2 linked regions of the Drosophila melanogaster genome follow. The protein of the gene in region 2 interacts with the protein of the main gene of each other region in a biochemical or structural test. Each region holds a gene or a part of one and is shown on either strand. Other genes may lie near its edges.

Region 1 (4,780 bases), on a different chromosome or scaffold from region 2:
GCACATTCACAACATTCTTAACTGGGATAGCATTTTCATTACAGCCAAAGGTCAGTCGGCTGGGGCAAGGCCTCATTTTATTTTATTCGCCGCCGCAGGCCAAAGTATTATAGAAGCAAAGAAACAAAGCAGCAGCTGAGCAGCACGCTCTAGGCACATTTGCCATGTTTAGAATTAAGACCTCAGATACTTGAGAAGCTCCAAAAGCCCAAATAACCGCAGAAAACGGCAACCGGCGGACGGGCAGAACCAATTCCGAAGGCAGCCAAGGCAGCAGTCTCAGGTCTCGAGTCCCCAGTTCGAATCTCCAGTCTCGGGTCCAACTCATGTTACTCACGTTCCAAACGAGCTTTTGTCAACTTGTCTAAATGATTTTTGCACACTGTAAACAAGCCAAGACACCGAGACAGACAGACGGACGGACTCAACGACAGACGGACGCTCCGTTGGACGGACAGTTGGAACGGCGACAACATTCAGTATTGACGTTGACCCTGCACGACTGCGATTCAGAAGTGGAGGCTCCGTTTGCTTGGGGATGTGAGTGTGTGCCAAGGATTCGCAACCTGAAGTCCAAGTCGTGTGTGATGGGCCAGGAAGGTAGAACTGGGGAGTTGGGAGTGGGGGAGGACTGGAGGCCAAACGGGCAGCAGCATTCCCCGTGGGAGTCTTTTGTTATTGTTGTGCTGATCTCTTGGATTTTTCGTTTCGATATTGTCGTGTAATCACGAATTTATTTTATTGAAAATCACTTGACAGGTGGCGCCTTATTTAACTAAGTTGTCAGCCCTTCCTCTTCTAAGTCCTCCGTTTCCGCCATCTGGGGAAATGACTATGAGAATGAGAATGGAAATAATGCAATGGAAATAATCATAAATGTTTTGTGGGAACAGGTCAGGTTGGTGGAATGGGCAGATATGGCAGACATGTTCATTGTTCCTTATACAACGAAGTTTTATGGTTACAATTTATAGTGGACATCAATTGTAATGCAATTGCTGAACGAAGAACTAGATAGAACGAACTTATGAACGTCTTTACTAAAATTGATGACTTAGATATGTCTGAATTATAAAGTATTTTATTTGGCGCAAGCCATTATTCAATATACTTTCTCAATATTCCTGACCTATCCTTCAAATTCCCATTTCAAATCCTAAATTTTCCTTTATGTGCTTCAGTCGATTCAGAAATGGGCCTCCCCATAATGGGAGCAAATGACTCCCCCAGTAGACCGTCTTATCTCGCCCTCAACAACATCACACACCATCCACAACACAGAACACAATATCACCGCTGGCGTGTTGAGAGTTGCTCCACCGAATTCTCCAGAGAATGCCCCGAGCGAGGAAGAGAACTCAGGTGTTCACGACTCTCTAGAGAGAGGGAGAGACCCCGAGACCGAGGCGGAGGCAAAACAAGAACATGATATATACAACAATATGATGTGTGGATGCTGTATGCTGGAGAGGACCACACCACATTAGTGAGTGGGTCTGTATCTGTGTGGCGGCGACTCTCCCATACGAAAACCTGCTCCACCACCATTTGCAGCTTGCAATGCGCCGCTCCAAGTTTCGCAGATGCAGCGCAGATGAGATGACGATGATGACGATGCTCTTGAGTTCGGACCAACAACATCCAGCCATCCAACCATCCAACCACCTCCAACCAGCCAGCCAACCGACCAACCGACCAAACGACCGAGGCGACCGACCATGTTTCCTGATGCGAGGCGAGGCGATAGTTTATCGCCAATTTTCGTGCCGTGCAGAGGTGAACGCGGACCAAAAACGTGCGAAAGGAAAAGCACTGCCCAGATGCGAGAGAGCCCAGCTCCGGCTCCCTATCGTACCCGTAGTATCTCGCCTCCGTGTAACCCGAATCCGTACACCCAACGGCTAGCGACACCCCTAATTCAAGGTTGACGTTGTGACTTGGTCGTCCTTCCTCGACGTTCAGCCACCGTTCACTTGTTTTTTGTTTGCATCAGCTCTTTTTTGGCTGCCGTCGGTTCTTTTTGGTAGGGACAAGGATGATTTTGAGGGGCTGAGCTAAGCTGAGCCGAGCCACCTCCCGAAAACTCCCCCCTAAAACGGCCATGCGCGTTAACGGTAAATAATGGCCGCCATCTTGGCCCAAACGGAATGTGCAAATATGTCTATATAATCCGCAAGTGTTTGTGTCTCTGTGAGAGTGCGTGTGACCACATCAAATCAAAGATAAATAGCTGAAAAGCTATCGCCGAAAATAAATAGTCTCGCATCAGGGTGGGTCAAGTTCCATAGTAGGACGAATGAGAGATCAATCGCAGGGGCGGAAAGAATTCTATCGGCATAACTTTAATCCAATTGATTTGTTTAAAATTTAATTAAAAAAAAAAAAAAAAAAAAAAAAACTATTAAAAGTCACAAGAATTAACAGAACAGAATTTTGTTCCAATTATCTTATTACATTTTTAGAACGATACTTTATTGGCCAGACCATACTGCCATCATATAGATATATTAATGCAAAGCTTTCTTTCCACACCTACGATTCCGTGTCTATGAAAACCGGACTCACCCTAATAAACCTGCGTGTAGTCATAATATATAGATAGAGAGGAACTCCTAGAAATGGAGCATCACGGCAGTGGGTTCGTGGCTTCGCCATGGGCCGCCGTTCTGGGACACCACTCGATGGCCTCCGATGCCGGGTTCGCCGCTGCGGCTGCTGCGGCGCATGTCCAGAACCACTCGATGCACCATCCTATACACTCGCATCACCACCACCACTCGCACTCGCATCCACACCCACATCCGCACTCGCATCCGCACCACCATCCGCACCTGGGAACCGCCGGAGGGATGCCGATGGATCTGCATGTGCCGCAGGGATTCCCCTACTACAGGTAAATTAAACGAAACCAGAACCACTTCACACTGCACCAATATTTCCCTTCCATTCGCACACTCTATTGGTTTCTCTTTCGCTGGAGTTTGCATGCAAATTTTGGGGGCGTTGCCAATGGCGGAAAAGTGTCCACCTGATATCCAATGGGCTGAGATGCGGAGATGCTGAGACAATTGATGGAACTGCCCACTAACAGGGAGAAATTATTCCACTTCCTTTTTGGGGTGGAAGTTAGGCGATTGCTCGCTCATAACTGAGGTTCTAGGTAAAAAAAAATTGTGACTTAAAGGAACTGACAAGGTACACCTCCTTAATCAGTTTTTATTCGTATGTGAAAATATGTCTCACAATCCTGAAATATCCATTTTTGACCCCAGCATGTCTGACACCTTGTCACCTCATACCCACCACGAAGTGTGCCCCCCCCCCAAAAGTAGCTTTCGCCAAAAAAAAAAATTAAATGTCCGAAAATTAAAATTTTTCAGTTATGAAGTGCAGGCAGAGCACTACAGAGGTGCCAACATCGATGAAACTCATAATTAAACTAATTGAATTTACGTGACAATAACACTTTCGACACTCACTCGCCAGGCCACCGAAAAGCGAGCGATGAACGCCTCACGAAGTCGGGCGATTGTCACGAGATAAGTTGGGCAGCTCCCTCCATCTTTCACTTTTCCCACTCCCAGTACATAAGCCTCCTCCGTAATGCATGGTTATTTTCAATATCGAAAAATGAAATCGGCATCAAAGAACATTTCGCCGCAATAGCCATGAAGCAGAAGTGGCAATCCGGGCTCTGTCTTAAGCCGAGACCTCTTTTAGACATTCCCACAACAATATTGCAATGGCGATGTAATTCATGAACTCTGATTGGTGGCCCCGCCGAAAGAGTCGAGTTTGTAGTTAAGATTGAGGATTGAGGCTCGAGGAGTTCCAGATGCGGGCACAGCAGCTTTGACTACCAGTGTCTGGGGTTTTGGGACTTGGGATGGCTAGAGATGGGCCACAGGGCCTTTTGAATTGATAGTCCGGAGCGAAAGATTTAATAAATATGCTACGTTAGAAGGATATGGAGACATTCGAGAAAACCAGAATAGCTTAAATATTAAAAGTATTGTAGTATAGTATTGTATAGCTGTGCCAAGGGTCGTGAGTCTCGTGACTCACTTTCTTGCCTATCGGTAAGCTGCTCACGCACATCTCTAAGGCACACATAGGCCTTCATGTTCCGAACTTAAGCTTCAACTGGGACTGCAACTTTAACTCCGACTCTGAACTCCCGACTCCGCCACTCCAACTTCTCGGCTCACACAATCAGCGTCTATCAGCATTTTTCAATTATATCGGAATAGCGTTATCCGTGGCTGGATCGCGTCAGAACGCATAATTACTATAATCACCTGAGTTATTACCTTGGCGAATATTGACGAAGACGCGAAGAGAGGGCCGCGAAGTAATATTAAAAGCACAACCAGCGCGGCGGGAAAAGGGTTCCCTGCTGAAATCTAAACTGTGATTGTTTCCCCTCGCCAACCTGCGATGGGCTGCCTCTGATGACTCTGCCTCAATTTCATTTTGGTCTTTTTCCCATTATTTTCATTTTATTTTTCACTTTTTTATTTTTGCTTATGCCTCAATTCGTTAAAGTTACATTACACTGGGAAAAATGGATGGCCACGGGGGAGGGGCCACGATAACTAAAAACGAGTGAGACAAAAAGAGTTTTGACCTAACTGGAAAATTGCTGGGACGTTTGTTTTTCATTACAGCCGACAACTTTGTTGCTTTGTATATTGGAAGGGGAATTTCCAGGGGGAATTTCCAGCGCCTTCACGGGCGGCAAAGGGGGATGAAAAACCCCAATACGGGCCAGGAGCACGAA
Region 2 (5,792 bases):
GCCTACTTTATCAGCAGCCCATTGCCAATAGCACAAATAATGCGGCCAACAAGTGGAAGGACAGCCTGAGCGACCAGCAGAGCACCGATTCGAGTGCCGAATGCACCATCTGCTACGAGAATCCCATCGACTCGGTGCTGTACATGTGCGGACACATGTGCATGTGCTACGACTGCGCCATCGAGCAGTGGCGCGGAGTGGGTGGTGGCCAGTGCCCACTGTGCCGGGCGGTGATCCGGGACGTCATCCGCACCTACACCACGTAGAAAGGTCGCGGGCGTTTCCTAGCCAAGCAACATTTACTCGCAATCAAACCTACTAAAGCTACACATTATACCATACACACAAGTTGTTGCATTTTAAACGCAATTGAGCGCAAAGAATATTATATTGGAGAGATAGGCATTATTTTTGCAGACTAAAGATTAGATAGTTTACGCAGCTAGATTAGTGTATGAAACTATCAACTAATTTATCACACGTATGTTTAATTTTTTTGTGATGTTATAAGTAAGTGCGCCCCAGAGCCAAAACTATGTATTGTTCAATCCAACAAAGATATCTTCGTTTTTTCAATTTTTTTCAAACCTTGAATCGCCCATTTGTGCGTTGTATACTGAAAAACCAAAGTATTGTATAGGAGTTTATAGTATTTTGAATTTAAATTGGAATTAATTGAAAGTTGTTGCAAATTTACTTAGTTTTTCTCTATGTCTAAATTCCAAACGATGTGCAAAATTAACAAACACAAACTACAAGGATTCTTTATTTGGCGATTAATCATTTTGGTGCTAAATGTTTTGAAAGGCAAAATAAAATTGTTAACGGATTTGAAAAGTTATGTTTAAGCTTGCAGCAACTACGAATGACCTTAATTTGATATGAAATCACAAGAAGCAAATATTGACTACTTTCCAGCAAGGAAATGGATATCGACGCAACTCAAATAAGTTTGCAGCACAAATTAATGAACAAAGATTGATCAGAAAACACTTATGCACGTAAACCAAAATAGAAAACTGCAAGAGCGTGTTTGTTTAAAGTTAATATTAGTCTAGCCCTAAGTACTTAAGTTAATTTCTAGTCAACGAATTATGCTGAAGTTAAATCTAAACCGGACTTCATCCAACAAAGACACCACAAAAAAGACGTATTAAGCACGCTAAGCTATTTTAATGAAGCCGCATTTTAAATTACACTTAAGTAGTGCACGTATTTTAATGGAGACTTAAATATATTTAACTATAAACATAGAACAAAAGACTTGTATGTTGTACCAACAGCTTGAATGAAATATGGAAAATGGAATGCCCATCTAAATAAACCATGCAGTTAGAAAATTGCCAATAATTAATTAACAATACCAAGCAGATTTAACATGAAGGACAAGCAAAGCGGATAAAACTTTACCTAAGATTGTATTAAAACTGAAAAAATGTAATAAGCAAAGAACACAAAGAAATATGCGAAATGGAATAAAGCGCAAGCTTACTATTTTGTTATAAGAATGCATCCGGATAGGAGTAAATGAAGACATGTTATTGCCACTAATAATAAACTTTTAATTTTTTAAAGAATCATAGTTCGTAAAATTACGATACTGCGCCTAGTTATGACTAAACATTTAAATGTATTTATGAAATTATATTTGATATATGTAAGAAAACGCAATGCTGTAATACCATTAAATACTGACAACAATATCAGAAACAATGATGGTTTTATTTATTTTCTGGGAAAAGCGATTTTTTAAATGGACGCCGATCTTGTATGTTTTTGAAAGATAAAAACATTTTCACCACACGACAAGCGGTAAATTGATTTACTTAATTAGCCAACAGATAGCTGGGCCTTAAAAAAGTCAATATTAAATTAAAATTTTATTGTATATTTGTGTTTATTTTTTAGGATGAAAATTTTAAAATGTAACGTTCTAGTTTTATAGTAATGCCACTTGGTCTTGATTCAACGCACCTGTGTTGCCACCTAGCGCATTGTTATCGATTTGCTATACACTGCATCGGCATATTTGTTAGTCCACACTACGGTCACACTTCGCGCAGTAAACAGAGATTTTATCGTGTAGTGTAGAAGAAAAGTACAGAATTAATGGTAAAAGCGCATAAGACCAGCCGAATAAAATTGCCTGGATAAACCAAGTACCTCTGTACACCCCCCATTGGTGAGTAGAAGGGTAAAAAAAGCGAGGGAAATAAGGTTACTGGCCAGCCAGCAAGTGTACACACACAAGCACGACGTAGACAAAATACTAACCCCTACCCCTACCCCGCCCCTCTCTCAATTCCACGAACCTTTTTCCACAGAGCACAGGCGACCCAAATTACGACGAACGTTTTCTAATTACGCATTCCAAGCATGGACGAGGCGAACATACAGGACAAGGAGCGGTTCGCCAGCCGCGAGAACCATTGCGAGATTGAACGACGTCGCCGCAACAAGATGACGGCCTACATCACGGAACTCTCGGACATGGTGCCCACCTGCAGTGCCCTGGCCCGCAAACCGGACAAGCTCACCATTCTCCGCATGGCAGTGGCTCACATGAAGGCACTGCGTGGCACAGGAAATACCAGCAGCGATGGCACTTACAAGCCCTCCTTCCTGACCGACCAGGAGCTTAAGCATCTTATCCTGGAGGCGGCCGATGGTTTCCTGTTCGTGGTATCCTGCGACTCGGGCAGGGTGATCTATGTATCGGATTCGGTGACTCCCGTGCTGAACTACACCCAAAGCGATTGGTATGGCACTAGCCTGTATGAGCACATTCATCCCGATGATCGCGAGAAGATCCGCGAGCAATTATCAACCCAGGAATCGCAGAATGCCGGCCGCATCCTGGATCTAAAGTCGGGAACTGTGAAAAAGGAGGGTCACCAGTCCAGCATGCGTTTGAGCATGGGTGCTCGTCGTGGTTTCATCTGTCGCATGCGGGTGGGCAATGTAAACCCGGAGTCCATGGTCTCGGGGCACTTGAATCGTCTCAAGCAACGAAACTCCCTCGGACCTTCAAGGGATGGCACCAACTACGCCGTGGTTCACTGCACGGGTTATATCAAAAACTGGCCGCCCACCGATATGTTCCCCAACATGCACATGGAGCGCGATGTGGACGACATGAGCTCGCACTGCTGCCTGGTGGCCATCGGCCGTCTGCAGGTCACCTCCACGGCAGCCAACGATATGAGTGGATCGAACAATCAGAGTGAGTTCATCACACGTCATGCGATGGATGGCAAGTTCACGTTTGTGGATCAGCGTGTCCTTAACATATTGGGATATACTCCTACTGAGCTGCTGGGGAAGATCTGCTACGATTTCTTTCATCCCGAGGACCAGAGCCACATGAAGGAGAGCTTTGACCAGGTGCTCAAGCAAAAGGGACAGATGTTCTCGCTTTTGTACAGAGCCAGAGCTAAGAATTCGGAGTACGTTTGGCTCCGCACACAGGCCTATGCCTTTCTGAATCCATATACCGACGAAGTGGAATATATAGTGTGCACCAACAGTTCTGGGAAGACCATGCACGGTGCTCCCCTGGATGCGGCGGCTGCTCATACGCCCGAGCAAGTGCAACAACAACAGCAGCAGGAGCAACACGTTTATGTTCAGGCTGCCCCAGGAGTGGACTATGCGCGCCGCGAGTTAACTCCAGTGGGCAGCGCCACGAATGATGGCATGTACCAGACGCACATGCTGGCCATGCAGGCTCCTACGCCCCAACAGCAGCAGCAACAACAGCAACGGCCAGGATCGGCGCAAACCACACCAGTCGGATATACCTACGACACCACACACTCGCCGTACAGTGCTGGCGGACCATCACCGTTGGCTAAGATACCCAAGTCTGGCACCTCACCCACGCCGGTGGCACCCAACTCCTGGGCAGCACTGCGTCCCCAGCAGCAACAACAGCAGCAGCAGCCCGTGACCGAAGGCTATCAGTATCAGCAGACGAGTCCGGCCAGGTCGCCGAGCGGTCCAACCTATACACAATTGAGTGCCGGAAACGGAAATCGCCAGCAAGCGCAGCCAGGAGCATATCAGGCGGGACCACCACCGCCACCCAATGCGCCGGGAATGTGGGACTGGCAGCAGGCTGGAGGACACCCGCATCCGCCGCACCCAACGGCGCATCCGCACCATCCGCACGCTCATCCCGGTGGACCAGCAGGAGCAGGACAGCCACAGGGTCAGGAGTTCTCAGATATGCTGCAGATGTTGGATCACACGCCGACCACGTTTGAGGATCTGAATATCAATATGTTCAGCACGCCGTTCGAGTAATACCCACACCATTTCTTTCGATTCCCACTCTTCCCCCGTCCCGCAACTTAATCTGTGTCTCTCTTAACCACTTCTCAAGTGCAATCCATCTTACATTGTTGAAATAATTCAGCCAAACGCATGCAAATTGTAATCTCGTAAATAGCATTTTAAGTACATAGGGGTAGTCACGTACACGATTCAGATATCTTTATTTTTGTGTGCTACGTCTTCTTCACTTCCACCTCCCGTATCCATTAGCCCGCCCGCCACCGCCTCCACTTAACCCGCTCATTGGCCGTGCAAAAGTATTTACAATTAAGGCCTTACGATTGTTCGTAACTAAAGGCAATGTGTTTACACCGCTATATAGCCCATGAATTCTAAACTTTCTCATCGATTATATAGGATTAAGTTCATATGTGGACACGCTGTGTGCAGAGTATTCATTTGTATTTGTCATTGAGCATTTTAAAGTTCATACAACGTATAAATATATAAATAATTAAACAATTCGTAGCCTAATATACCACAAATTGATAGTTGTAAGCAACTCAGCAAGTGTACCACTTCCACGCTTTTCCCGCGAACAACATTGACACCATTTCCCATTAATTTTCGCTCATTTTTCGCCAAGGCAATCAGACGTAGACGAGCAAACAATATACGGTCGATATGTACACTTTACATGCTTTATGTGCAGCTTTTCATTTTGTTTTAATTGCATTTTATGCCGCGACAACAAAAACTTCCAAGCTCAATACAGTGGCGCTCAAAATTGAATCGCACTCGCAGAAATGAGACCATTTAATTAATTACGTCAAGTTCAAACATAACATTAGTTAGTTAACCTCACTTCGAGAGAACAAATTCTAAACAACTTTTTAGTCGCTAAGTCCCAACATTTGTAAGTAAGCTCACCACAACGATGATAATGCTTAAAACTTTGGTTATTGAGAATAAAAATTTTGGTTTTTACTGAAAATAAACTTAATGTACTACAAACTATGGAACTTTAGTTACTGATGAGGTTTATCTTTTGCCCGATTTCATCTAGCTGCCGCTGCTCTGCGGGGGAGCTGCCGTACGATTCCTCTTAAAGTCCCTGAATCTGGGTCGCTTGGCGGGCCTCTCTACGGGTGAGCCGTCAGCGGAGGTCCCTCCCATGGTCGTAGCTTCTTTTTCCTGATCCTCATCGTCGCTCTGTTTTGCTTTGATTTGATCTTCCCGCTTCTTACGGGCATTCAGCCAAGACATCATCGTTTTGTTCATCGGTGGCTTTGCGGGCTTAGCCGCCAATTCGATCGGCTTGTTGCACTCCTCGCTTTTGTTTCGCGAGTTGTTTACCAGCTTGGTAACACGATGCCACTGCAGTTCGGTAGCCGGACGCAATGTAGCCAAGGCCTCCTTGTCGCTAACTCGCTTAAAGTCCAGCCAATCCTAGAATATGCGAGGATGGGTAAATTGGACCTGGATTAACGAAGGATTAACAAATGCTTTACTCACAT

What was found. The genes of interacting proteins can lie anywhere in the genome.
Region 1: the proteins of tgo (region 2) and trh form a complex in vitro, tested with the Drosophila melanogaster proteins (one study listed by BioGRID).

The regions. Positions count from the first base shown.
Region 1 is NT_037436.4:389,599-394,378, reverse strand, and holds the start of trh (trachealess), read left to right. Parts: upstream 1-1,745; 5' UTR 1,746-2,270; exon of another isoform or gene 2,271-2,373; intron 2,374-2,585; 5' UTR 2,586-2,618; coding exon 2,619-2,893; intron 2,894-4,780. UniProt on the Drosophila melanogaster protein: Transcription factor, master regulator of tracheal cell fates in the embryo, necessary for the development of the salivary gland duct, Malpighian tubules and the posterior spiracles.
Region 2 is NT_033777.3:9,016,267-9,022,058, reverse strand, and holds tgo (tango), read left to right. Parts: upstream 1-2,036; 5' UTR 2,037-2,182; intron 2,183-2,324; 5' UTR 2,325-2,376; coding exon 2,377-4,305; 3' UTR 4,306-5,286; downstream 5,287-5,792. Other genes in the region: neur (neuralized), read left to right, coding at 15-266; CG11986 (uncharacterized protein), read right to left, coding at 5,338-5,724, 5,791-5,792. UniProt on the Drosophila melanogaster protein: Heterodimers of tgo/trh are involved in the control of breathless expression. Plays a role in the cellular or tissue response to oxygen deprivation.